Linked DNA regions of Mus musculus: regions 2, 3 and 4 are each reported to be linked to region 1. Evidence: microRNA targets listed by miRTarBase, many of them from high-throughput screens and not tested one by one. Region 1 holds a microRNA gene; each other region holds the end of a gene's coding sequence.
The links. Region 1 holds the annotated microRNA mmu-miR-429-3p (UAAUACUGUCUGGUAAUGCCGU, at 3,664-3,685, opposite strand). A microRNA usually pairs through its seed, bases 2 to 8, with sites in the 3' UTR of a target mRNA and lowers its output. Matches are read on the target gene's strand: a 7mer-m8 pairs with bases 2 to 8, a 7mer-A1 pairs with bases 2 to 7 and ends in A, and an 8mer does both.

Region 2: miRTarBase lists Foxn3 as a target of mmu-miR-429-3p. Seed matches in the 3' UTR shown: 7mer-A1 at 2,128-2,134.
Region 3: the mRNA of Rassf10 is a reported target of mmu-miR-429-3p. Seed matches in the 3' UTR shown: 7mer-A1 at 4,555-4,561.
Region 4: miRTarBase lists Mtf2 as a target of mmu-miR-429-3p. Seed matches in the 3' UTR shown: 7mer-m8 at 5,884-5,890 and 7mer-m8 at 4,744-4,750.

Annotation. Positions count from the first base shown.
Region 1 is chr4:156,050,253-156,057,372 of GRCm38, forward strand. Mir429 (microRNA 429) reads right to left here and starts at 3,735; the gene lies at 3,653-3,735. It overlaps Gm13648 (predicted gene 13648), which reads right to left. Exons shown (of 2, transcript NR_132444.1): 2 at 2,463-3,777. It overlaps Mir200a (microRNA 200a), which reads right to left and starts at 4,733; the gene lies at 4,644-4,733. It overlaps Mir200b (microRNA 200b), which reads right to left and starts at 5,498; the gene lies at 5,429-5,498. It also overlaps a transcript of Ttll10 not described here.
Region 2 is chr12:99,190,230-99,197,349 of GRCm38, reverse strand. Foxn3 (forkhead box N3) reads left to right here. Exons shown (of 6, transcript NM_183186.2): 6 at 537-2,256. The coding sequence ends at 1,083. Among named protein-coding and RNA genes, the nearest start is that of 4930474N09Rik, 31 kb to the right of the region's middle.
Region 3 is chr7:112,954,558-112,961,677 of GRCm38, reverse strand. Rassf10 (Ras association (RalGDS/AF-6) domain family (N-terminal) member 10) reads right to left here. Exons shown (of 1, transcript NM_175279.3): 1 at 4,220-7,120. The coding sequence ends at 5,958. Among named protein-coding and RNA genes, the nearest start is that of Rassf10, 4.2 kb to the right of the region's middle.
Region 4 is chr5:108,106,441-108,113,560 of GRCm38, reverse strand. Mtf2 (metal response element binding transcription factor 2) reads right to left here. Exons shown (of 15, transcript NM_013827.3): 15 at 4,342-6,973. The coding sequence ends at 6,616. Among named protein-coding and RNA genes, the nearest start is that of Tmed5, 23 kb to the left of the region's middle.

The DNA of each region.
Region 1 (7,120 bases):
AGATGCGTTTAAACCTGAAGAAGATGGCCAAGAAAATGACCATGTCAGTGCTCTGCTGAAGTTTTCTCTAGACACACACACGTTTGGCAACACAGGGCTCTGAGAAGGTGCTGACATTTTTTGAAGGGCCGGTGCCTCCCAAGCTGCGCTCACTGTCTGGGGATGCGTTCTCTGTGGATCTCAGGAGGTGGCCCTTCTGAGGGGTCAGTTCTGGGGGAGACAGACACGGCTCTAGGCAAAGAGCTCCTTCTAAGGGGTCCCAGCCCTCCCCAGAACTTGAGTTGCCCACATGGACCAGTCCCGCCCCACAAGACACGCCTTTGTTGGCTGAGACACTTGGGTTTGGAGAGTGTGGCCTTGGCAGAGGGCTGAACTCAGCCAAGCTGCCCAGTCCTCTCTCCTGTTTATCTACTTCCGGAAAGAGTCAAAAATGAGGCACAGGAGGGCAAGGACTCAGCCTCAGTCCTAGTCAGGACCCTCAGCTTGTAACCACCTAGTCTCTCTTACCTGCTCTCAAGGTCTTAGGAACCCTCTGCTGGGATACAACAGTGGTGACCTGGCAACTGTCTCCAGGCAACTGTTACTAGGGAACTATGATTCAGCAGCTGCCCAAAGGTAAACAAGAGTTTTAGGTGGATGGTGAAAGGGACCATTGAGTTGAAGGGCAGCCTTACAGAAGTTGGGCAAAGCAAGAAGTGGAGAATGGGTCAAATTGATCTGAGGAGGCTGGGGGGAAGCTGTTCCTGAGTTCACAACGCCATCTGAATCTGGGGCATAGCCCCACATCTTCCATCCTCCCATGAACTATATATATATATATATATATATATATATATATATGTGTGTGTGTGTGTGTGTGTGTGTGTGTGTGTGTGTGTATGTATATGAAATTTTTAAAAGATTTATCTTATATATGTGAGTGTACTGTAGCTATCTTCAGACACACCAGATGAGGATATCAAATCCTGTTACAGATGGTTTTGAGCCGCCATGTAGTTGCTGGGAATTGAACTCAGGACCTCTGGAAGAGCAGTCAGTGCTCTAAACCACTGAGCCATCTCTCCAGGTCCCCTTCCCCCCATGAATTCTTCCTAGATGATTTTGAGTATTCACAGGGACTCCTTAATCCATACCTAAAGAACTAGGATCTAACACCAAGCATGGCTCAAAGTGGCTTTGAGGCCAATTTGTAGTTTCCTGCTGGGGTCCTTGGGATCTGGTGTGACTCCTGCTTTTGACCCCAAGTTTTCAGCCATATGGATCCACATTCCTGTCATCTTTCAGAGCCTTGCAAGGATCACAATAACTTGACAGGGGCTACATGGTGCTTCCAAAAACCAGGACCATATCCTGGAGTCCATGACCGTGCCTTTCTAAAAATAGAAATCTGTACAGATGTCACTGAGTTAGAATTTTGGGTGCAGTCATCTTGTGTCAACCAGCCGTACTCTAAACCCAGTGACTGGTGACCTCTTTAGAGGGAAGCAGAGATAAGGGTATGTGACTGTAAGCCACAGGACCTGTGAACTAAGACGAGGAAGACACTTGAAGACTCCCTCTAGGGCCTTCTTGAGGTTCTAGGGGCATATCTTGGAAATTCTGGAAGACAACTGTTGTCTTTGGCTACCCTGTAAATCTCCTCACCTTCAGGTTCTTTTGTGGTTCTGCTCATGTTAAGGGGCTCTAGCATCCCCTTAGAGGCTGGGCATGACAAGTCACTCACGTGGCCTTCCCTAGTCTAAGCTGCCAGTGTGGGAGCTTGTGCTTGGCAGGTCTGAAGGAGCACCATTTCTCAGCTGTGCCCAGAGTCCTATGGCGATAGGAGTGCCCCATAGGTTGTCATTCTCTACTTGTGAGATCTGCCCTTCTTATGCTGTGCTGGGAGTCGGGGTCTCTGTGGTCAGTCCAGTGCTGGATCAAGAGACCTCTCTGCTCTAGACTAATAGTACAGTGGGACTGCAGGTGGGCTGGGGCACATAGCACTTCTACTAAACCCTGGGCTGAGTTATTGGGGCTGAAAGCCTCCAGGCTGGACAGGTAGCTCACCCAACCCTGGAGAGGCTTTGGACCAGCAGCCAGCTGTCTCTGATCCTGGCTATGACATTTTCAATGCACACTCCAGGAGCTGGGGATTGTAGCTCAGGGGTGGAGTGATTGCTTTCACATTCATAACACCCTGGGCTTGGTTCCTGCACAAGACACCCAATTCTCACTCCAAGGCTGACTCTTGGCTGAGACAGGAGCCCCCATTTTCCTGATTCACCTGTCCTTGGTAGGTTCTAGAGTACATATTGCATACCAGAGCTGGTTTGTGTAATGACTGGCTGGGTACAATGAGCCCCATGTCTCTCTTCTATCTGGCGGGAGCACCGATCACTGGAGTCCCCGTGTCCTCGGCTTGATCCTTTGCAAGGCTGCTTGTTAATGTTTTGTACGGTGAAAATGAGATGATCAACATAAAATTTCAGAAATCACACAATTTATTGCCTTACAAAGATTTTTTTTGCCTGCATTTTATTTACAATGCTTGAAGAGATGACAAAAAGGGGACCACCTATTATAGAGCGCACGATGGGCGGACAAGTCCCTCAGCCACATAGAACTTGGAGCCCAGCAGGTTTCTGTGGAAGATGAAGTCCAGTGTCCCTATAATGGTTCTTTAGAGGAATGGCCTGTCCAGGGCTAAGAAATCTGTTAGGGCATGTTGGGTTCCTTCAAGAGGGCAGTGGATGAGGTAGGGTTTGGCTCTGCTGGACTCAGGCTGTATTGGCCAACTTGAGGTTTGCAGAAGTCTAGGTACTGAAGCCAGCAGCTTGCAGATGAGGTCTAAGAGGTTCACTTCTAGTTCTTATCACAGCAACACTCAAACTCCCCATATAGCAAATGATGTAAGCATTGGGAGTCATTCTAGAGCAACCGTTTTAGCAACAGCCTTTTGAAAATTCTCAGGGACATGGGGTGGGGGTGGGATCTTTAAGATCGGGCCATTCAGCATCCAGAGTTAGACTGAAAGATGACTCTCAGATCCTAAGAGCCAGAGGTGGGATGCATAGGAAGAGCTCATAAGCAGGCTGACAACGGCAGAGCTGTGCAGCCTTGTGCATATTCCTGGGTATGAGTCACTATCACCTGGTCTGGCACCTTGGCAGTGCCCCTGTCCCTGAAACCCATATACTTATTTTCCACTCCGGGTTTGGGCACAGTGGTTAGACTTGCTTTTACTCTCCTTGGTTCCATGACCTGAGAATTTTGGAGAGGAGACAAAGGACCAAGGTTTTAGATCTCCTCTTGTCTCCTACCAGTGTTGATAGCACAGGGGCTACAGAATCTGCAGGTGACAGCTGACGACAGATCGAAGTCTCTGTGTGGAGCCCAGTGGGCTATGGAGGGCAAGAGGACTGTGACCGCCCCACTGACTATTCCTGAAAAGGATGGATACGGAGGCCTCAGTCTGCTGTGGCTGTAACCGAAAGCTACTACAGGGTCAGAGGAAGGCAGTCAGGCTCAGCGGGGCCTGTATATTTAAACTGTGGTCTGTTTGCATAGAGGGCTTGATGAACCCAGCTCTGGACAGTTGTAACAGATGGATTAAGGTCTTGTCTCTACCCAGTGTCCACGAGGTGGTGAGGATGTCGTCTCCAGCGGTGATAAGGCCGTGGATGGACGGCATTACCAGACAGTATTAGACAGATGCATCCAGATCTAACCATGTCTGGTAAGACATCCATCAGCAGGGCAGTACAAGGGCCTCCCCATCTGGGCAGTTGGATTTGATACCTGTAGAGGGAAGGCCAGGGTTGGCTTCCTGCCTGCTCTGGTCCAAGGGCCATTCTTGGGGTTCACCCTTCTAGGACCTGGGACTACTCTAAGGACTTTCTTACCAGGGCCCAGCTTGGTTGCCTGTTCCTCAAGTGTGGAAGTCTGTGGGTGCAACAGGAGAGTCATCTGCTCACTCTTACTTGGCAAATGCTCGTCATAGCACCTCTTTGGTTTTCTGAATGGCTGTCAGCTTAATGAGTAACATTAAAGCCAGGAACAGACTCCTTCCCCCGGAAGAGTCATCTAGGCTGATACTGGGTGGGGCTCCCTGACCCTGTACTCTGGCTCCAAGTAAAGAAAGATAAGAAGTAATCCTGGATTCTGGTTTGGGGCAAAGTTCCTATTCTGGAAAGCCATTGGGAAGGAATAGAGATTCCTTGTTCTTAATTAGGAAACAGCTGATGACGTCACAATTCTGTGTACCAGGCTCAGGTCCCCGAACCCACCCTTGCCCATTGGTCCCATAGGCACTGACAGTCCTTATGCTAACACTGCTATCCATGTCTCCTTACCTAGCTCAGCATCCTCACTAACCCTCACAGTCTCTCTAGGAATCAATGAACCCCCAAATCCAGCAGAGGAGTTGGCAAAGGTGGGCATCGCTGCTCTGAGAATGAGTGACAATCCACTTCTACTCCAGTACCCCTGGCATGGTGAAACCATCCCTTGTCCCAGCATGAAGTAATAGACAAGGGTCAAAGTCCAGCCCCCACTGACTGCTGATCTGTAGAGCTGAGACAGGCCCTCTGCACCCAGCACCCAGCCTCGGCCTAACTGGAGTCCAGGAGGACAAGTGTGTATCATCAGCCTGTCTTCGGCGAATGGTGGGTCACCTTTGAACATCGTTACCAGACAGTGTTAGAGTCAAGCCAAGAAATCCAGCACTGTCCGGTAAGATGCCCACAGAGGCCCAGGTATGCTCTGGCAGGAAGACACAGGTGGTTTCCACCCTCAGGGAGGCCCAGTGGAAACCTGATGCCATGAACAGCCAGAGACCGTATATGCATCGCAATAAGCCAGCAGAGATGTTGACCCTAACTCATACGGTCTGCTTTGTCCAAAGCAAGGGGACAGTGACACATTGGCTCAGTGTGCATGTTGGAGGTGCTGTTGGTCAATAGGTCGGTGCTCACTTGATGCAGGAAGGTAAGGTATCCCAGGCTTGAGTAGCCCCACTAGGGGGTCAATCAGTACACAGCTCCTAGATGTAGGTGAGGCAGTTTTTGGCATGAGGCCCTCTGAGCCTAGGCGGAGACTTAGCCCTTTAGAGCCTTTGCTGCACTTCCACCCAGCGTACACCTGCCAGGTGTGGTGGCAGCACCTGCCTGGGTATTGTATGCAGAACCCAGGCACTTGACTGTCCTAATTCCCAGGGCATTGGGAGGGGGCGCCCCCAGGGCAATGGGAGGAGCCTCTCACCCCAGGATATAGAGTGGCCCTCAGAGGTGCCTGGTTTGGGGGAACTCTCCCTAAAGCCTCCCACCACCCATATCGCCAAGGCTAACTCTTTGCCCCATAGCCCTACCTTGGATAAGGTAGGTGAGGTGTGGAACTGGGGCCCCTGGAGGCTGGGATCAGGAGGCGGCTCCATTGCTGCATGCAGGGCTCCGCCGTCATCATTACCAGGCAGTATTAGAGATCAGACACTATCCAATGCTGCCCAGTAAGATGGCCACGGCTGCCCAAGTTGGATATGGAGGCCGCCTAGCAGGGAGTTGAAGATGACTAGATTCCATGGGCAGGGCCCAGATGCCTAAGTGTCCTAATCCCCAGAGCATTGCAGAAGGAGGGCACCCCTTCAGGACAACAGCAGAAAGCCCTGCATTCTCATCTCCAAAGATAGGTAGTGGAGAGGTCAACAGCTTGAAGTAAGATCAAGTTCTCTTTTGGAAATTAGATGGAAAATAATTAGGATGGGGGTCTTATAGGCCCTGAAGCCTCTTTCTTGCCTCTCTATAAGGCCCAGAGGAAGGACTTAGCACCCATGGCCATAGACAAGTTCCCCTGCCCAGCCAAACCTGACCTGCAGTGGACTAGCTTGGGGCCCAGGTGAGGACTTTGAAGGGTCAAATAGTCCTTCCCAGAGGCTGACAGCCCGAAAGAGCTGGGAGGCAGGCTATGTAGACTTCCATGTGACCAATGGCCAGGTCAGGATCAGGTCATAGACAGGCCCTCCATCTGAGTATATTCACTACAGAATAGCCTAGACAACAGGTCCAGTCCCATTAGGGTACACAGTGTACTTAAGGTTGATGAGGTTCACTCAGTGGGCCTCTGTCTCCAGGATACTGTTCAAGTCTACTTTCCTGCCCAGCCCCTCTTGCCTTTTTCAGGGCCCAAGAAGGATACTGGGATGAGGGACCAGGGATCCAACACTTCAAGCGTATGGGAAAAGCAGCCCCCAGTATGAATACAATAATCACATACCCATAGAAAGATCTTTTTGTTGCTAAGGACATAGCCTGTAGTCTCCCATACAGAGCCAAGAAACTAAGCACCTGTCCCAAGGATACTTGGGACTGAAAGAGACTCAATCTGTGCCTCTCCTCATCCCAAGTCCGTCTTTACAGAAGTATTTCTTCTCGTTTTTCTGGTCTTTTCTATCACAGACACAATACAGGTGGCTCAAGCCCTGTACTGATTTCCTCGGATCACAACGAAGGCGTGTGTCACTGCCTCCAGGCAGCCGCTAGTTCTCCAGCCTCTCTCCTGAAAGCCAACATTTCTGAGGACCTGACCTGAGCACAGGCTGAGCAGATGGGAATGGACACTCTATAGGAGCCTAAGGTTTTAGAAACTGTCCTAACTCTTCGTCTATCGCCTACAAGGTTCCCAGTGCTCTCAAACACCCGTCAGATATACTTCCCCTTTCCCGAACTTTTTTAGTTCTATCCTATCAGATTCATAAAACCGGTGCTTCAAAAGGACTTTCTCTCTCTCTCTCTCTCTCTCTCTCTCTCTCTCTCTCTCTGAGCTTTGGCAAACTAAGGATTCTATTTGAGAACTAAGTGGACTAAGCAGAATTTCAGTTATCCTTGTGGCTTCAGAGCCACAAAGAGTGTGGGAGCTGGGTGAGGGTAAGCACCAAGGATGTTGCCTTTCCCCCTTCTGGTTGTGCCAAAGAAACAGGGAAGACGAAATGGTATCTAATGATGAGCCTGATCCCTGCATCCTTGACTACTCAGGGTGAGCACTTCTTAGGGAACATGGGAGGCTAGGGGACTCTGCCAAGTGCATAGCTGGCCCGGGCATAAGCCAAAAGGTCAGATATATGGGGGCAGGTGCTCAGACAGCAGTGTGT
Region 2 (7,120 bases), not on the chromosome of region 1:
GTGAGCACGAGAGCCGTAACTTACCAGCCTCACTTCCATGATTCAGCCTTGACGGCTGTTTTATTGGCTGTTCCCCTGGGTCCTCTCTGAAGGGATGCCCCTCTCTCACATGCTCAGCGATTGGCAGATTGAGTGGGTGACTGTCATCCGGAAGGCAGGCTCTTTGCCACATGTCGTATTTAGCCTTCTGATAAATGCAGCAGTTCCAGAAGAGAATATGCCATTGACTCTGTGGTGCCCAGCCAGCATCTGCCAGCAGTGGCTTTCTCCACCGTGCTGGGGCTGGTGTGTGAATGATTCACCTGCCTGTCACCTCAAAAGTATTGTTTTAACAACTCAGACGCACAGGTTTGGAGAAGGTGTCATTGGGAGCGGGAAGGGAAAACCAAGAAAGATAGGACTGAGGATTGGGGCCCCATCTGCAAAGCTCACACTCCTGTTAGCCAGGTCTTGGAATTGCTAGCAGGGTTTGCAGGAGCCCAGATGCCCGGCGTCGTCACCAGAGATGTGATTTGTTGTTCCCTCTCCGTCTGCAGGAATAGCATCACCAGTTGCAGGATGCGGACTGAGAGCGAGCCCCCATGTGGCTCCCCAGTGGTCAGTGGCGATCCGAAGGAGGACCACAACTACAGTAGTGCCAAGTCCTCCACTGCCCGGAGCACCTCTCCCACCAGCGACTCCATCTCCTCTTCCTCCTCCTCAGCCGACGACCACTATGAGTTTGCTACGAAGGGGAGCCAGGAGGGCAGTGAGGGAAGCTTCCAGAGCCATGAGAGCCACAGTGAACCAGAGGAGGAGGACCGGAAACCCAGCCCGAAGGAAGGCAAGGATGCCCTGGGGGACAGCGGATACGCATCCCAGCACAAGAAGCGCCAGCACTTCGCCAAGGCCAGGAAGGTCCCCAGCGACACACTGCCCCTCAAAAAGAGACGCACGGAGAAGCCGCCCGAGAGCGATGACGAGGAGATGAAGGAGGCGGCCGGTTCACTCCTGCACTTAGCAGGGATTCGGTCCTGTTTGAACAACATCACCAATCGGACGGCCAAGGGGCAGAAAGAACAAAAGGAAACCGCAAAAAATTGAAACAAGTCTCTGATTTGTTTTGAACTTATGGCCATTTGGTTTCAGCATGTCAGGAGATTTCTAATGATTTGTGGCAATATCAGCAATTTTTTTCTTTTTTCTTTTTTTTTTTTTCTTTTTTCCTTTTGTTGGTTTGGTTTTCTTTTCTTTCTTTCTTTCTTTCTTTTGTTTTTTAATTTGCCCCCCACTCCTTTGTTTTTGGACCCTTAAAATTTTTTCTGTTTAAAGGAGATTGAAGCCATAGAAACTCATATTGACACTCAGCCGTTTTACAAAAGCTTTTCTTTATCTGAATACAAAAACCGAAAGGAAAAAAAAAAAAGCCAAAATTAACCATTGCTTCCTGCAGCCTGTCAGAAACCTGTGGCTAAACCCACAGGGCTGTCCATGTTAATGCCACAGGAACATGGAGCACCACCTAGGAGGCACACACGCACACAGAGTCAGTCGTCACTGCTCAGCCCAACCCTTAGGTTTAAGAAGTCAGTTGTGTTTGGAGTGAGGCTGGGAAGCAGTTACAGAGACTGAAGAGCCCTTGTCCCCTAGAGGATAACCCCATGCTCTGGCCCTGGCATCCCAAGGTACCACAAATGCCATCGGCCTTGCTGTGTGGCAAGCCCAGGGCCTGGCTGCCAGTCCTCTGTGTTTCTTAGCCTTGAGCCTGGTAACATCTCCCAGGCTGAATACCAGACTGTTCAGGTGTATTAGGTGTCAGTGACTGAGGAGGGAAAACAGGGATCGTCAGAGCCATTGATAACCACTGAGTTCTGCTCTATGTTAAATTAAGAAGACTTCCAAAGCCATAAGCCTGAAGGTTGGTCCTGTGTGTGTGTGTGTGTGTATGTGTGTGCGCGTGCATGTGCACACAAACACACAACTTAAAGGTGATGCAGAAAATAGGCTGTGCCCTCTTAACTGCCCAAGGAAAAGCAATCATGCCCAAGAAATGACAGTAGCTGTTAAGAAAAATGGTACAGATTTTTTTCCTCCTAAATAAATAATCTGACCCAAGTTGGGAGGGGGGGTGCTACGGAAACTGCCATTAGTATTATGGTGTCTTTATGAGATTAAAGGCACATTGATGGACTCAACAAAGCAAAAACATGACAAACAATACAACTCCTGTACTGTCCTCAAAAAGGGTTTGCAATTAATATCAGTACTCATTTTTGCAACAAAGAAAAACAGAACAGATCAGTGACTTTCACATTCAGCCAGTGTAGCCAGCAGAAATTTCTGATCCACAAATGCATGGATTCCTTTGAAGAAAAAGAAAAAAAAAAAAAAGAAAAAGGAAAAAAAAATCACAAAAACAAACTTTTTTTTATTCAAAAATAACAAAGTTCTTGTAAGGTAAATAATGTATTTAGCATGAAGCATGAATTATTTTCATATAAATATAGAGAATAGAGAGAAGACTATGCCTCTAACTTTTAAGCCCTAAAGCTTAGAGGCCCTTTGTTCTTTTTCTTTCTTTCTTTTTCCTTTTCCTTTTTTTTCCTTTTTTTTTTTTTTTTGTTATTATTATTTTGTTTTTTTGTTTTTTTTGAAGCAGGTGTTTAAGGTTTAACCTTCTTCAGGGACAAATTCTGACTGTTGGGGAACTTACTCTGCAATATAAATTATCTTCATGCTCTGGTAGGGGCTTGGATGGTTGAGCTCTGTACTGCCTTGTCTGCACTCAGCCCCGACCCCCTCTGATTCTCTACTGAAGAGTGTGTCCTTCCCTATGTCTGTATGTGTTTAACACGACGCAATAATTCGAGGGCAAACTTAGTGTGTACGATAGACTCGAGAGAGTTATGGGACGCTTACTTGAGGAAAATCCTTACCGTGATCTGGTTCTAGGAAAAAGGCAGTGAATAATTATGCAAATTCGCCAGAAGAAGGGGAAACACGCTAATGGGCCTTACTGGGTGAGGGTAAGAAATGGGTACATGGGTTGGAGGAAGTACGCCATCAAGGGGTTGGATGGAGCAGCCCCGAGCGAGCGAGCGAGCGTTCTACTGTGACAGTGTGATTGCGCAGTGAGGAGGGGGCTGGCCATCTCTGCCACTTCGGCACAGTAACCACCTTGGGACTAAGACCACCTAGATAGTGAGAGCTGAACAACAACCAGACCATGTCACACAAGCCAGAAACTCCAGTTACCTTTGCCAAAAAAAAAAAAAAAAAAAAAAGGAAAAAAGAAAGTTTTTTCCTTGAGGTCTAAACGAGAAATCCCTAAAACAATATGGCCTCCCGTCCAAATGGAGGGAACATTTAAAAACAAAATCACTACCGTGGCTCAGGGTCAGATATTTGGAAGAGAGAGGAAAGTAAAGTGACCTTGAACTCTTGAAACAGGGCAGTGGTGGGCCTTTAAAGCTGTGTCCACCTGTCAGTACCAGGTACCATGGCAACGGCGGCAGCCACTTCCCCCTACCTAACCTGAGGGCAGCTTTTGGGTGGGAGGGGGGCACCCACTCTAGGGCAGGCTAGATTTACCCGCAGCCTGGGCTCTCTCAGCGTGAGGGTTCGGGGTTAGATGAGAGCACGGGTGTGTTCTCCACAAACCTCTGGCACCCAACAAGCCATCCACAGCTCTGGAACCCTGAGCCACGCTTTGGTTTCTGCTGTCAACTTACCAAGTCCAAAAGATTCCCCACCCCCACCCCCACCCCACCCCCAAGATGTTCAAACTCAGACCTGAAGGTAAAGGTAAGCACTCAGCACTGTTTGTGGCAGGGGGCTTCTTCCGATGCAAACCCCACACGGCTGTCTCCCCTCGGTTCATTTTTTCTGAAGGGGCAGAGGCCCCTTTCAGAGGTGACAAGATGCAGTGTGTGTGTGTGATTTACTTTTCTGATCTCGTGGAGATCTGGAGAACTATCTTATACAAGTGTGTTCTGAACCGCAGAACCACTCCGTTTGCATAAATACCTCACCGGGCAGCTTTCTAAGTGTTATTTTCCTGAGCCTCCCTTGGCACCTTCGTTGGAATTTTCTGGAAGACTTGTTGGGGAAACTTTAGTAAGGGTACTGTTTTCTATTTTCCTTCTGTTTTGGGCGGCATACGCATTATGCATAACCAAAACAATGGCTCAATTGTGTTTAACTCTGTATTTTGACTGTTGAGGCGAAAAACAAAGTCATCAATGTGTATGTGGCTGTTTGTAGCGAAGTCTGCCGAATGAGGCTGTCCGTGTCCTTAACAAGCCAAGGGGCAGGAGGCACCCTCTCTTTCCCCTCCCCCAAGAGCAGTAGAGAATTTAAGCACAAGCCTATTTGTGAAAGAATATTTTGCTTAAGTGTAATTCACTTTAGTGTTGGACTTCCTTCCCAAATGTCAGGTGTTCTTTTAGCTTTCAAACTAGCCTGTGTATCCATTAGTCTGACAGATCGCCTGAGCATCATTAAAGGGATGTGGTGGGGTTTTGTTTTTGGTTTTGTTTTTTTGGTTTTTTCCTTGCATTTCTCCTGTGGGGAGAAGTGGCGGGTTAATGTGTCATTCCAGTATCTCACGGACTCACATGGGGTGGGGGGAGGGGCAAGTGGGGAACTATAGCAATATCTGCAGATGCTTTGGGGACACATAGCACCGCGACATAACAACTGCCGGCTGTCAGCCCTCAGACACAGTTAAGAGAAGAGAGAGACTCACTCTCTTTTCTTAGGTGATGCTCACATCCACGTGTTTTACCCCGCTCCTGACAGTCTTTCCTCATTCTCTAGTACTTTTTTGGAGAAAGGGTCTGCACCGTACTTAGGTTTTCTTTCTAATATACATCACCAAGCTCCTACTTCCCTCTGCATCTCCAGTCAGTATGTTTTTTTTTTTTTTTCAGGAGTTCTTTTAGTAAAGCTGGCTCTCTGAATCTAAAGCTGAACCAAAACCACACACAGATTGTGGCATAAGGAACTCGTGGTCAGGATGACTGGGGCAGGTCTCCATCTTGGGGCCACGTCTTTCAAGGAGGGATGGGTTGGCGCCCTTTCCCAAGAGCGGGTTTTTCCTGTAGTCGCTAGCCTGTCTATTGCCTCCTGTTCAGAGCAGTTCCGACCACGGAGCTTTCTTGAAGGACGATTGCATTCTGTGGCGCCCGAGCCACAGATGGGGTGGTTTTGGTGCTTACAGTCCCAACACAGCAGGCCCATGTGCAATGTCCCAAGCCACCAATTTGGGCTTTATCGATGCTACTCCAACCTCTGTACTGTCCCTTGGAGGGTGGAGGAGCCTATGACATGATGCCAGAGCCAGAGTTAGGGACGAGTGACCGGAATGGGGAGTTTTCCCATATGTGGGATTAGACTAAATTCAGTGTGATTTCTCTTTGCCCTTTCAAACCTTATTCAGGTTGGGACTCATTTCTTTCTGGTGGATCACAGCTACCCAGATGTGTAGATTGATCTCTATGTTCTATAGAGAAATCCTTTTCTTTCATCTTCAGCAGGGTTTTTATTTCATTTTTATTTTGCCACCAAAAGAAAACATTGGAGCATACGTCCCCTCTTGATTGTGACTTTCCAGTGTTGACCGTTCAGTTCTTTGTGTTGTAGGTCCCAGCCCACCAGTACTATATCAAACACTGTTAGGCTCATGATGCAGCACTGTGATCTAATTTAAATAATACTTTTTTATTATTTATACTACTATATATAATATACATCAACACTTTTGCTATATAACCTAAGTGATAAACCCCTTTTTTTGGTTACCTGTCAGACTCTAGACTTTGGTTTCTATTGCAGTTAACACAGTTACAGAATTGTAATGGTGTCTTGGTTGTTTTGTTTTGTTTTGTTTCTTTTTTCTTTTTTCCTTTGTAACGGAATGTGTAAATCAAAGTATATACATTGTGTGGTGTTCCTGTTTCTTGGGATGTCATGAGGAGTTACACACAGCATTCAGTGTTCTGTATAGACCTGCCCACCTTTGTGAATTCATCTGTTAACTCCTCCTTTGAGAGCACGCCAGCCACGGTGGCTAACTCCCAGCGTCCTCTCTCCTGCTGGCTATTCTTGAATTAAGCACAGACTCGTCCACTCGGTTGCTTTATCATGAATAATGGGTGTGACTTGGTCACTCTTCCGCCCTTCAGCAAACAAGTGCTAGCTTCACTGACCAAAAATTAAGGAAGGAAAACACCATTTTTAAAACGATCCACCTTTTCATGGCCGAGACGGATGTTAGTCTACGGTGCTGCCTCGCGCTGCCGAGCCTCCGGAACGAGCCCGCTGTGGAATGACCATTTCTGACTTGCTGTGGGATGCTCAAAAGTACCCTTCCTGTCTCGTTAGTATTGGAATCAAGACTCTTTATTTGGACTCTATACAGCAGTGTTCCTCCACTGTGTTGCATTTGCAAAAGTAGAGAACATGCCTTCTCCACCCTTTTGCAAATAATTGATACTCCATATTGGATTCTCAAAAGACTTCGATATGGTGATCCTGTCAAACCTAGAAATTGTATTATCTTTTCATACCTGACTTCCCCGTTTCTAAAAGTAAACAGCACACTTTTAGTTACAGACACAGTCGCCATTTCTAGAGTATGTGTGTTGAAGCCATCCAAGGTCATAGCTGGCTCAGCCAGCCTCACTCCATCGTTCTCACTGCCTGTCCTGCCATGGTGAACATGGGGAGAGAAAAAGAATCTGTGTGTGTCTGGGAAACAGCTACATCAACTTTTTATTTTTACTACTCTGATTCTGTAACACTTCTGAGTTTTGTTGTAATTTTACAGAAAACAAGACCACAATGATAAAGCAGAAAACCACACGGTTTGTGGCTGAATCTTAGAGTCACCTGACCTTTCCTGGCCAACAGGTCTACATGGCCAAATTAATTTACAAGAGTAATAATTTCTTCAGAAGCCAATTTTTTTTTCTGTATTTCTGTATAAAACTGCCAATATCATGAAGAGAAGGGGAGAACCGGAAAGGAGAAAGAAAACGATGTTTGGTGGTGTTTGTGTTAGCCTAAAGCAGCGGTGTGGAGATGGCTCCATCAGCCGAGCTCCAGGGACTTGGTGTTGCTTGGGAGGGATCCATACAGC
Region 3 (7,120 bases), not on the chromosome of region 1:
TCTGTACTTCCAGTACTCATCTGAGGTCAGGGAGTCAGGAGCTCAAAGTCACTCTTGGCCACATAAAGAGTTCAAAGCTGGGCTGAGCTACATGAGACCCTGTCAATAAAACTAAAAAGCTAGAGACAGCTCTGGCACAGCTTGGGTTGTCACCATCAATGACTTCATGTATCTGGCCACACAACTCTCCCTCTCCCCTCTCCCTCTCCCTCTCCCTCTCCCTCTCCCCTCTCCCCTCTCCCCTCTCCCTCTCCCTCTCCCTCTCCCTCTCCCCTCTCCCCTCTCCCCTCTCCCCTCTCCCCTCTCCCCTCTCCCCTCTCCCCTCCCCCTCTCCCTTTCTCTTCCTCTTCTGTTTGAGACAAGGTCTACATAGCTTTGGCTGTTCTGGAACTCACTATGTAAACCAGGCTGGGCTTGAACTCACAGAGATCCACCTGCCTCTGGCTGCCAAGTGCTGGGACTAAAGGTGTGTGCCACTGTGCCTGTCCTTCTAATTCTCCGAGCCACTCAAATATTTCCTGGGAATGTCTCACCTCTGTCTTGTGCTAAATCTTCACCTGATAGATAATCACTAGCTCTGAAATATGGGGGAGATGGTTCCTCCTCTCTGGAGGAAACAACTGAACAAGATGACTGCTCTCTCACAGGTCTGCAGAGCTCTCTGTGCAGGTGGCTGGCATGTGTGCTGGATGTGAGGTCAGGCTTGTGCTGGAATCTCCTGTCAGCTTTGTGAGTGAGTGAGTGTGTGTGTGTGTGTGTGTGTGTGTGTGTGTGTGTGTGTGTGTGGTTTTTAAAGATGGGTTTCTATATGTAATAGCCTTGGCTGTCCTGGAACTCACTGTGTAGACCAGGTTGGCCTCAAACTCAGAGATCCACCTGACTCTGCCTCCCAAGTGCTGGGATTAAAGGTGAATGCCACCACCATTCCCTGATCATGTCAGCTATTGATCAGAAAGACAAACTTAGTTTCATTGTAAAAAGTGGAGATCCAAAAGGCCTGCCTCACAGGGAGATACATGCCGTCCTATGATGTAGTCTATTGGAAAAATTCAGACAACAGTGGCTTCCCTATCTACCCTCTTGTCCTTCCTGTAGGGAAGTACATTGGGCAAATGTTTCCACACTGGAGACTTCACTTCCCTTTTCAAAAATTTAAGGATGGGCTGGCAAGATGGCTAGGTGGGTAAAGATACTTGCTGCCACGCCCAGTAACCTGACTACCACCAGAACCCACATAGCGCAAGAAAAGAACTGACTCCCGAAAAGGATTCTCAGATTTCCATACATAATGTGGCATGTGCCCATTAATAATAAATACAAGTTAAAAAAAAAAAAGAGGGGGAAACTAGTCTAAGAACTGAATGATACATGGAAAGTAAAATTTTAAATTAAAAAGAATTTAAAACTGAGCCCAGGTGCTAGAAAGAAAACCCCAGACAAACATAAACTGTTAGCAGCTGTTAATTAGCAACTTGGCCTGTGTGTTTATTGTGTTTACATTTAATTTTTGGTAAAGGTTTGTAAAGAGAAACACAATGTATTCATGACATCACCTTCTAAGAATCACCGTTCCGCTAGACTGAGATGAAAAAGATAATTGTTTGTTTTTATAACTCTAGTTCTTCTGTTATCTTCTTTGTCCTGTGCCTATGAAGCCTTGGCCCCTCCCACTCTCACATCATTGGCCAACTCTGATAGGAGACAAGATTGCTAGCTGGTAAATCAATCTATCCAGAGAAGAAAGAAAAAAATGAAAAGAGCACTATGCCCTCTTCTTCCTCCTCTTCCTCTTGTCCTCCTCCTCCTCCTCCTCTTCTTTACCTTCCTTTCCTTTCCTTTCCTTTCCTTTCCTTTCCTTTCCTTTCCTTTCCTTTCCTTTCCTTTCCTTTCCTTTCCTTTCCTCTCCTTTCCTCTCCTTTTCTTTTTAAAGTCAGGATCTCATGTAGCCCAGGTTGGCCTCAAACTCACTGTGTGACTTTGAATCTTTGACCCTCCTCCTTCACCTGTTGAATGCTGGGATTATAGTTATGACCCACTGGGTCTGGTTTCACATGTGCTGAGGATCAAAGCCAGAGCTGGGCAACTCTACCAAGTGAGTTACACCCCTAGGCCCTGCCATGTCATCCTAACTCATCAGTAAAGGCTTCCGTCCTTGTTGTGATTTTAGACCAAAGCTGAGACCTTGAGCATTTACCCAAGCGCTCTGTCACCAAACTGCACCCCGGTCGACGAAACACCTCTACCAACTGGCCCAGCTTGTTACAAAGACACTTTAAGATGGTGATGTTCAGCCCTGATTTTGAGGCTATGAGAATTAATAAATTTTGATGAAACTATTTTTTAACAAACAAAACCCAATATCTAGTGACATCTAGGATAAAGTGGGCACTTTTATGCATAGCTTAATTAGAATAAATTGTTTGAAAAGCAGCATGGCAAAGACACCTGAAGCATATAAATGCATCTCCTCTCGAAGGTGAGAATTCTCTTCCTGGGAATCTTTTGAGAGAAGTGAGGGGGGGGGGTCCCCAAAGCAGATGCGCTCATAAAGGAGCCTAACACAGAGTTATCTTACAATAGTTAGAATGTGGGCTAACAACGTGGGCTGTCACAGAAACTATGAAGCTCAAGAGAGTTTGGCCACAGTATGGGGTCAAAGCAGGCATGCAATCTTATCAAAACTATGTGTAACAATAGAGCAACATAGGAAAACTTCAAAATGCACAAAAAATCCTGAAGGGAACTTTGGCAAATGTTGGCAGTAACAGGCTTTCTGTGGTAAGAGCCTGAATGTGGCGGCTCTTCTTTCTTTCCAAAATTCATGTTGTTTCCACGTTTTTCATCAAGATTGTGCTGTGCAGCTTTTCTAAGGAAGAAACTATTAATAAAAATAATAACCATTCTTTAAAAAAACATTGTGTGTGTGTGTGTGTACACATGCATACACTCACTTGAATGTGTATGTGTGTGCTCCTGTGAGGTCACAGGTGTATGATCAGGCACCTCTGAGGAGGCCAGGGGACAACTTGCAGGAATCAGTTCTCTCCTTCCACCATGTGTGACCGGAGGATCAAACTTCTGTCAGGCTTGGTATCAAGGGCCTTTTACTCACTAAGTCGTCATCTCCTGGGCCTAATGACCATATTTTATAGAAGGAAGTCAGCATAGTAAGGCCACATGGGATGCTGGGTTGTGAGAGCACCCCGAATGGGATGCATAGGAACACACACACACAGTGGATCGTCCTAATTCCAGAAGAAAGATGGGGCTAGCTGGGAAGGAGCTTATGGCGTTTTCTGTTCTCTTCGAAAGGGTGCTGGATTTCCATAGGGCCTGGGAGCACCCAGAGAACAGGAGTCCCCTTCCCAGGGACAGTGTCTGCCGTGTTGACTCACCTTTAGTGTCACGGGCATTATCTATATGCAGGAAAATGGAAAACACTCATTCATCAGTGAGACTTCAAGCCTACACACATGGTTGTGACAAGAACTTTTTACAAAAGGAACCACTGCCTCTCCTCCCGCCTCCAATCCTCTTCTCTCCTACTCACACAGAGAATACCTCTTAGGAAGAGAATTGATTGGAACGAAAGAAAAAAAGGAGAAAACTATCCTTTGTTAGAAGCAAAGCCCCCCAGCTGTCTGAAGCATTTTCTTTAAAGCAGGGCAACCTCTTCATGTGTTAGGGACAGAGAATGTTCTCCAAACCCCCGCAGGCCCTCCTCCTGTGATGTGGCATGTTTGCTTTGCAGGTTTCAGGCATATTTGCTGACGTCAGCGACCCATCAAAGTTTAAAATAATAATAGTCAAAAGGAAAACAGCTCCTTTCTGCCAGGCAGTCGCGCTCTGCCAACTTCTATGTTCCTTCTAAGTTAATAAACGTCCAAGAACCACCCCCCCACAACCCTAGGGGGAAGAAAAAAAAAAAGCATGATAATTTAAAAAACCACCAGGTCAGCCCATTGCCAGCATAAACCATTCAGACAGGTGGCATTTGTCACACTCTAATGAGGATTTTACCTCTGCCTCCACAGGCAGGCTGTCATTAAGCTTTGTGTCTACCGAATCAAATGACTGGGAAGGGGGAGGCTCTTTTGGTCAGTTTTTTTTTTTCCCCTTCCTCTTTTGAATGACGCCACAGAACCAAGTGTAAGGATGTTTTCTGCATCAGACAAGACTACGCAACATAACGATACCAAATAAAGTCTCTCAAAAAGTATCAAGTATTTAAGAAAACTCTTTTCATTTTGATTTTGCTTGAACATCTGAAACCGGTCGCCTGTGTTATAATCCTACGGTGGCATCAGAGTGGGGACAGTCTGTGAAAAGGGGACGTTCCAATAGCGAATTGAGGAGTTCAGGAGGACATGCTCCCATTGGGGACACTCAGACAGGTGATCACGAATGGGAAGAAACAGTTCCAAATCCCACGCTTCTGTACATATCTTTGCATGTCATTGTGGGAACGGTAGCCAGCCCCTCACTAGTTCAGTTGATACCAGCCTTCTGCGCCTCACTGACAACACACACACACACACACACACACACCATTGTTAATACTTCCTCTGGACAGATTAGATCCACATTCCTCAGAAAGTACTTGGCTCCACAGGGAAATGGACAAGCAGGCTCCTTCCACTGGCCCAACAGCTAACTACAACTGATAGGTTTAAATTGAAATACCTGGAACAATTACACCGAGTGCTCCCCAGCACTCTCACCAGCTACAGGAGACAATGTCACCCTTATATCTCCCCCCTCCACGCACAGAGGAATGGCCAACCAGGGGCAACTTTTAAGTCTTAACTCAGCTTCATGCACTTTCCCCATGGCTCCCTGCTATCTATGGTTATTCTATTTGTTTACCCACCGTGGCCTATCAGATTCCTCCCCCCCCCCTTTTGGGGCCTTTGCTAGTAAACCCTGCTGTTTGCACCTGAAGTTAATTGGCACTTGCAGTTTACTTGAGAACCAGAACCTCATCTCCAACCGAAGATACTGAAGTTGGACTTGGGTCTGGGTAAAATTCATGAAGATCATAGCTGGTGTTTAATCACGGAGCTGTAGTTAGCAGCTAAACACTATGCGGAGATTCTTACTTCCAACTTGTAGCTGACACCAGAACGTTCTTTGAAAACAGCAAAGCAGGCTGCACCCCCTTCTGCAGCTCCCCCTTCTTAACTGTAATTGAATCATGAATTACAAGCCAGCACCTCTGCCTTTGCAGAAACACACCCCAAAAAGCCAGACTACATTTTTACCCTGGATTATGTATGCCAGGATTTTATAACTCAAAGTGCTATGTTTCAGGCTGAAGGTGGGGAGCCTTTAACACAATGTATTTAGTAAGGAGAGGCCCAGCCTTGCATCCCAGTGCAGTTTGGCCTTTGACAGAAATAAAAGGCAAATGATTTAGCAGATGGGTAATTCCCAAACCTGAAGAAATGTAAACAGTCAGGATTTTGATGCCTATGGGTTTTATCAAAGATGTTAAGCAAGGCAGAGACCAACACTAGTGCGCCCTCTTTGGCTAGTTTGAACACGTTTCCAGTCACAATTAACATTCAAGGAATTTCCTTTCCATCCAAGTGTTTTCTTTTAGCAGCACTTTATGCCACAGACCAAAGTTCTAGCTGTCATCAGTCCTTCCCATGCACAGGAGTGGTAAAAAAAAAATGTCCCGTAATGTTTTCCTTTTCTCTTGTTTTGAAAATGGGCTTGGACCTCATCACTTACCTAATGTGTTTTTAAAAAACAGGGAGGGGTTCTCACCTCCTGACTCCACTTCCCTCTAAAGCTTAGAAGCTTAGGGCTTCCTTGTCCAGGACCCTCCTTCACACTCACTCTCCAGACCCATCCGTGGGAACTCTGAGCTCACCCCCATGGCCTCACTTCATGTCCCTGAGCAGGCCAAACCAGTGCATTCTGCAAGCGTCTAAGCTTGCTCCCTACTACTTCTACACAAGGGATTCACACACAGGGGGTACCGAGTCTGAGTCTTGGCTATGCATGGAGCTCAGCCCAGTATCTGAGTCCTCATCGTTGCCCGGGCAACTCTTAGCCAGTCCCCGGGCCTGGTCTACCCACATTTCTGCACAGGTCTGAGGCTGAGGTTCGCGAGAGGGTCCGCTGGAACCCAGAGCCCCATCATGCACCACCGTCTGCTCAAAAGTGTGCAAACTCTGGAGAAGGCCCTGAAGCTCGCGCTCCTTAATGTCCCTCTGCTGCTGGCTGTAATCCAAGTCCGCCTTGACGGCCTCCAGGTCCGTGCTGAGCCTCAGCCCGATGTAAAGGCTGGTGCTGAGCTGCGTCCTGACCCGCTCCTGCTCCAGCAGCAGCTCGCCATCCGGACCACCATCGGGCTCTAGGGACTCCTCTCGAGCCGCCAGCTCCTCATTGCGCCGCTGCATCCAGCGCTGGTTCAGTTCCTCCTGGATCTCGGCGGACAGGCGCTCTAGCAACTCCTCCTGCTGGGCGCGCTCCTCCTGCAGCCGCACCAGGTCGTCACAGCGCCTGGCCAGCTCCTCCAACGCTGCCGCCTGCGCCTCGCTGTCCAGGGGTGCCGCCGGTTCTGTCCCCTTCTCCTCCAGTGTCGCATCTTCCGGCTCCCCTTCAGGAGTTTGTCCGTCCAGGTCGATGCCGGCCCCCACTAGATAGGTATCCTGCACGTAGTTGACTCCGTGCCTCCGCATGCGGTCTAGGTGCACCTTGGCTTCGTAGCGGTCTATCTCGCGGTCCAGCTCCCGGAGCCGCTGCACCTGCTGGCGAATCGTGTGGTCCTGCGACAGCACCAGATGCACCAGCGTCTCCATACGTTCTACCGACGCGCTCTCGTGGGTCCGAGCAGACGACGAGCAGGACGAGGCGGTGGACGACGACGTGGACGAACAAGGTGACGACGGCTGCTGCTGGCGCCTCCGGTTGAGCTTGGCCAGTTTGCGGAAGGCCTTGCGTACCACCCGCCGCTGCTTCTCCTGGGTCAAGGCCAGGCTGGGCCGTGCTGGGGCGCCCCGGGCCAAGCAGGGGCGCTCGCGGCTGAGCACTACCCGCGCCTCGGCGCTGCGCGGTCCGGCGTTGGGCAGCGACGCTTCGCTGCGCACCAGCACGAAGCGTACATTCT
Region 4 (7,120 bases), not on the chromosome of region 1:
AGAGACAGGCACAAGTGAGAGCAACCACCTAGGTTGGGCTGAGTAAGAATCCCATCTAAATCTCTGTGAGCACCACTATATACAGCAACACAGCAACGCTCACAATTCCCTACAGACAGAAAAGTTTACATACACCATGGGGTGCGCTATGCTGCTTGCCCACGCACACACGCGTGGGGTCAATGCTGGGTACCTTCCTTTATTGATCTCCACTCTATTTTTTCCTCACTGACACAGGAGCTCATTATTTTGATGACACTAGTGCGTAAGTCCCCAGAATACACCTCTCTGCCCCCGTCAGAGCTAGGGTTATTGGTTACAGCACCCTTCTGAGGTCTATGTAGGTGCTAGGCATCCAAACCGATCCTAATGTGTACACTAAGCACTGTAACCAATGAGTCATCTCTATAGCCTCAAAAATGACTTTATTATTAATTTTACTTATTTGTTGACATATCTCACTTTGTAGTCCTGAAATCACCATATATATCAGGCTGACCTCAAGTGAGTGAGACCTCCCTGCTGTTGCATCCACAGTGCTGGGATTAAAGACAGTGCCACCAAGCCCAGCAAAACTGTTCTTATAAAAGCATGAAAACATTTACTACATTCTACAAGACTTCCAAATAAAAAGGCATTCTTTTTTTTGTTTGTTTTTGTTTTTTCAAAACAGGGTTTCTCTGTGTAGTCCTGGCTGTCCTGAACTTACTCTGTAAACCAGGCTGGCCTCGAATCCAGAAATCCACCTGCTGGGATAAAAGGCATTCTTAATGTGCTTCTCTAACTGGTTTAGGGGTTGATTAAAGTACCTACTATGAGCTAGGCATGGCACTCCCAATACATGAGAACAGTAAAGATGAGGATCAAGGATTCAGAGCAGCATGATTTCTGTATCTCCTCCTACAGGAAAGCAAGTCTCAAAGAACAAAAAGGTAGCAAAAATGATAACTTAGAGGTTAACAACATACACTGCTCTTGCTCTTCAACTACACAGCAATTTCATGGCTAGCCTGGACTACCCAGGGCCTAAAGAAAGAAAGGTGGGAGGGCAGAGACAGAGAATCTAATATAAAGTTACAGTTCAAATATTTTTTCACTATGGACTTATTAAATGAAATCTGGAAGTAGATAAGAGTAGATATAGAAATCAAAATTGAGTCTTAAATGACTCAAAGATTCCATGAAGCTTCTTTTCAGGGATATTTCTAGAAAGTTTGAGTTTAGAGAGATGCTGCCCTCTCAGAGGACCCACATCTCACATCTGCCTCAGAGGTCCAGACCATCTCTCCAAACCATTTTTGTGCACCTGCTCCCAGATGGTGCACACACATGCAATGCAGGGACTCACAAGTAACACATAAATGTTGAAGAAAAAGTAGTTTAACATAATTTAATTTCAAACTAAAACTAAACAAAACTCAACAAAATTTTTAGCAGTAATATTGTTTCAAATTCTGCTCCTTAAAATTTACTGTGCATTCCACTAATACTATTAAATGACACCTTCTTTTAAATGTTTGCTTTTTTTTTTTTTTTTTTTTTTTGGTTTGAGGCAGGGTTTCTCTGGCTATCCAGGAACTTGCTCAAGGCTGGCCTCAGACTCACAGAGATCTGCCTCCCGAGTGCTCGGATTAATAAGATTAAAGATGGGTGCCACCACTGTCCAGCCCAGCAGGATATATTCAGACAGGGTGGTGTTGGCCAGAGCCTTCAATCCCAGCATTTGGGAGGCAGAGGCAGCAGATCTCAGAGTTCCAGGACAGTGGGAGTTACAGAGAAACCCAGTTTCAATCACCACACCACCACTAAAAAAATTCAGATGGGCATCAACTTTTTTGGAATGTTGTTAATAGAGGGTGGAATACCATAATAAAATAAAAACAATAATATGTTATTAACTGTGCAAAGACTAGGTGATGAGAATAAGGAACTACACGAGAGGCAGTCCACAGGCTTGGGCAGACCTTTCAAATGTTTTCAAGCCTAAGTATGTGATCCTTCCAAACAGACATGACACACAGGGAGCATGTTCCATAAGCTCCACAGAGATGCTGTTCAGAAGCCTGAAGAGATCCCAACTAAAGACTACAGAATAATGTGCTTTTGTTTGGTTTTGTCAGATGCAGTTGAGTAAAATGTTATCCAGTTTCTATTCTTGTTCTTTTCCCCATACACTAATTTTGTTCATTCAGGAACTTGACATCGGCTTCTAGAGGAATGTATGTCACAAAGGGGCAAAAAGAATGACTGACTATAAATACAACAAACACAACAGAAACTAGTAATTCTGAGACAGAATCTATCTCAGCCTCTCAAGTAGAAAATATCAAGTATAATACTACAGGCCTGCATCCTGACAAATGGCTAGGCAGGATATGTTTTATCCAAATGTACATAATATATAACCTGTGAAGGTTTTGTTTCTTTGTTTATACACAATGGGGAATCTCTTAAGAGTTATTTGTTTGTTTGTTTATTATATGTAAGTACACTGTAGCTGACTTCAGACACTCCAGAAGAGGGAGTCAGATCTCGTTATGGATGGTTGTGAGCCACCATGTGGTTACTGGAATTTGAACTCCGGACCTTCGGAAGAGCAGTCGGGTGCTCTTACCCACTGAGCCATCTCACCAGCCCGGGGAATCTCTTAAGTAACCAAAGAATTACTTTGAAGAAAAGGAATTACTAAGAATTCAATTTTTGTATTCATTTCCAGAAACAGAAAATGCCAATAAACAAAGAGAGTTGGCTAATAAAGAACTCTGCCAGGTACAAATGGGCAGTCATCTTGTTAATTTACAATCTTCTTGGTTTTTAGAGACAGGGTTTCTCTGTATAGACCTGACTGTCCTGGAACTCACTCTGTAGTCCAGGCTGGCCTCAAACTCAGAAATCCACCTGCCTCTGCCTCCCGAGTGCTGGGATTAAAGGCATGTGCCACCATCGCCAGGCTGTAATCTTATTCTTGTTCATTTTTAATTTTTAATTAATTTGGACAGTGTCTCACTATATAGCCCAGGCTAGCCTCCAACTCTTGATCTTCCTATCTCAGCCTCTCAAGTGGTAAGAAATACTAGCATACATCCACACACTGACTTTATTCTAATTTAAAAAATAAAGTAAATTAATATTTCATGTAGCTATTACTCTGGTATTATAACTTACAAACATTTGTATATATACCATCTATTTGCTTAGAGATGCTGCAAGTTTCTCACATGTCAGAATGTATCAGAATTATCTATGAATCCTAACTAACACCAATTAGAAAAATACCCATGATCAGACAAAGCTTTTACTTTACATTTAAATGTCATGTTTTCATTTCCATGATCAAAAACTATGACATATCAAATGCCTTAAGAGAAACTGAATGGGACTTCTGGAGTTTTGTACTCTTAATTCAGAAAAGAAAATTTCTCCATACAGAGGGCCTTGGGGGTGGGGGGAAATCTATCTTTAATTATTACATGGGTATCTGTTAGCCTTAAAACACCCTCTTTCAAAATTTAATAACTAAAATTTAATAGTACCTAACAGGAGTACAAATCAGCCAAAAATAGAACTTCATCCCAACACTGATAAACAGAAATCTAACTATATCCATGAGAGAAAACAAATACTCAACAAAAAATAAAGATGGGACAGTCTCAGCTCTCAAACGTGCCCGGATTTCCAATAGCTATCGTTCCAGAAAGACCTGACTCTTATCACAATGTGGGTGCACGTCTCTCTCTCTCTCTCTCTCTCACACACACACACACACACACAGCCCGCACACGTGCGCGCATGAAGTCAAACACTGAGGATTTACAATTATTCTGGTAAGGCACACACACTCACTTAACTGGTTTATCCTAAAGAACAGGGTGGTTACAAATGAGCGATTACATAAGGTCTCCTATGGTCTCTTTTGGAGCTGCTGCCAAGTCTCTCTGAGCCTTTTCCTTTCCTTCTACCTTCTACCTTTTTACAAAACCTGGGAATACTTCCACGACGCTTTTCCTAAAAATTTCCGCTCCTGCCGTGTAGCTGCTTGCTGAACGTGCCAGAACCTAACACAACAGGACTTTGTCCTTTTCACCTACGCTTACCTATTCCAGCAGCTGCCAAGATTCACAGCTTCTGTGCTCTCTTTTTCTCTTAAATGCTTAAAATGAAAAAGGAAGGAAGGTATATTATTTTACAACTTTTCTATTCTGTAGATTAGAGTCAAAAAAAAAAAATAGCAAAAACGGGAAGTCTGTTTACATGTGCCCCAATACCTAGGAAGAAGAAACAACTGTGAAGCCTGATTTTTCTACAGTCTTTGGAAGAGGAAAGGACATAAACACTGTCTTTCAAATACAAAGCATGTAATCCTTTTTTAAAAGATCACTCACAGTGAACATACACTATTATCATTATGACAAAAGGAAATGGAAGCAAAGTTCTTCAAGACTAATTCAAGTATATAAAAGAATTGGAAAATTCCTCCTCCCTAGCTAAATAAAAGCAGTTAACTGCTGCACCAGTGTGTATTTTCAAGCAGATACAGAAGAAAAACTCATTAGCTCTTTTAAAAATACACACATTTAATGTTGGTCTGTTTTAATTCTAAGTAAAGCAATTTCAAAAATACAAACTGAACATCAGAGCCATGTGAACCACCATGATAAAAGAAAACAGACATTCACAATAATTAAGTCTAGAGACAGTTCAGCTTGATAAATTGTCTTCCAAGTATCTTAAAGAATTACTAAAAATACTGCTGGTGTTCAGTTAAAATTAAAGAACTTTGGGAAAAATGAAATATGATACAGCTGGAGTGAATAAGGTTACACGGGAATTACATTTTCCATTACCCCTAGATATAAACAAACATTCAAAAATTAACACAATCTCTGTGTTATTCAAAATATTGCAGCTGCAGGAAAGGCAACTTTAAATTAATAGCTAGGGGAAATCAAGTTTTGGTGGAGGTGAACAGAAGTGACAGTTTGTAATTTGCACTTTGTAAAGCTCATTATACCTGGTTAACCAGGAACCAAAAGCAGGACAAGAAATTCTCTGCTTCTTTTGGCTACAATGTGACAAGAAAAGTCATCTTTTGAAGATGCTTAAGGAAATAAAGCATGTTTCTTTAAAAACAGGCAAATAATCAATTAATGGAATAAATAAGCACTAACCACAATTTTAGCATTCTGTCATCAATACACGTCACATATTTTTTCATTTTGGCAGAAATTTCCCCAATTTTTAGTCTAAAATCCACCAATCATTATAAAAGTAAAATGAAGAGCTACCAAAATAATATTCTTCTGTTTACTCTTTGGCTAAGAAAGAAAACAACAAGAAAAAAACCAAACCAAAACAAACCAAAAAAACAGAAGACAACTCTAACACTGGTGATAAAAGAAACTTTTTTTTAACACGTAAAATAAAGATATCAATTTAAAATCTTGGTACATTTTATAAAAACAAGAGGTAATGTTGTAATAAAACAGCAGTTAGCCTCAGCTAGCAACATACTGTTTGTTAACCCTGTGCAATAAAAGACTTTGTTCATACTACGCTTACTCAAACATGACTAACAGTTACTACAGACATTTCAGGAGTCTTCACTGGGCTCCCACAGACTTGCTGTTAAAACTGAGACATTTACAATCATAATGTGCCACAATCACTTGAAAACGTCACTTCTAATAGGAAATAATGTAGTTATCACTCGAATTTGTTTTAGGTATTCAACAGCTGAGTTACAAGGACTGAAAAGCCCTCTAAAAGCCCATGTACACTGTTGTTCACACCCTTCTTCAGTACACACTAAACTTGACACATTTCTCTTCATACATAGCAAGCAACAGCACCCAATAAACGCCTGAGAAGAAATGCTGCTGTGTAAATACTGCAACTATTCCTGAAATAAGAATTATGGGATATATACTCCAAAGCTGCCCATTCCCATAATTTGTATTGCATAGGTCACATAATCACACACATATATATACACATGTGTGTATATACATGTACATGCAAAGAATATATTAAGACGACAATGAAGTCTAGTCACAGAGCAATTTACAGGCTCAATATATTTTTTTACATTTTGCTTGAAAGAAATTTCAATATTTTACAGTCTTTCAGTAGACATTATATACACTGCACTTTATGAAATCTAAAGGGTATTGAAATAAATCTTTCCAACATTTTGTTAACAAAACACACAATGTTTCTCCAAATACTTGTGCTATCTACATGATCTGTTTGCTCTGATAACCACTAATCACAAAAATTGACTCAATGGAATAATTATAAAAAGTATCTAACACCATGCATGGGTATGAATCATGTTTAATAGCCTATCCTAGAAACAGTCTACAAATCTTAAGATTTAAAAAAATTAAGTCTCTCCTCTGATTTTTAAAAGATATCTTTTTTTATGACAATATCCATAACATTGACAAGAACATGTTTTAAGGCCAGTATCATCTCCTTTTGTGAATATTTTTGTGTTTTCTCTTTGTTTGTTTTTCTAAGAAAGATAATAAAACCCACACTCTGTTTTTTGTTTTTTTTTTTTTTAACTGTACCAACAGAAAACGAGTGCAGTGAACATTACGTTCAGTCCTACAGTCAGGATGCAGTCGCTCCTTCCCATTCCACAAGATACTGCACCTTCCCATCAAGCGTCACCCGACGAGCCAAAACTCTGTATTTTTCGCCACATGCTATTCTACCTGCGGCACCAAAATAACTAGTGATGGAGTTTTTCAGGTGATTGAGCTGCAACTCCTGATCTGCTAAGTTATTCAGAATTTCTGTGTTAAGTTCTTCAAACTGATAATCTTCTTTGCCTTCATCATCTTTCACAACTTCTGAGTTCTGAGTCTGGAGTGCTCTTCGTGGAAGGCGACCTCTTCTTCTCCGCAAATGTGGTATTGCAGCAGGCCATGATCTTCCTGTGCGAGTTCTTTTTCTAGAGTCTGATAATCTAGGGTAGGGAAAAGAACACATCTGCTAAGATCTTTTTCACTTGGGTAATGTTTTCCACAAAGGTTCTCATCTTATAGACTAGGCTAGCAAAGTCTCTTACTCTCCCTGCCACAGACTCCCCAAGGCTGGGATTACTGACTACCAC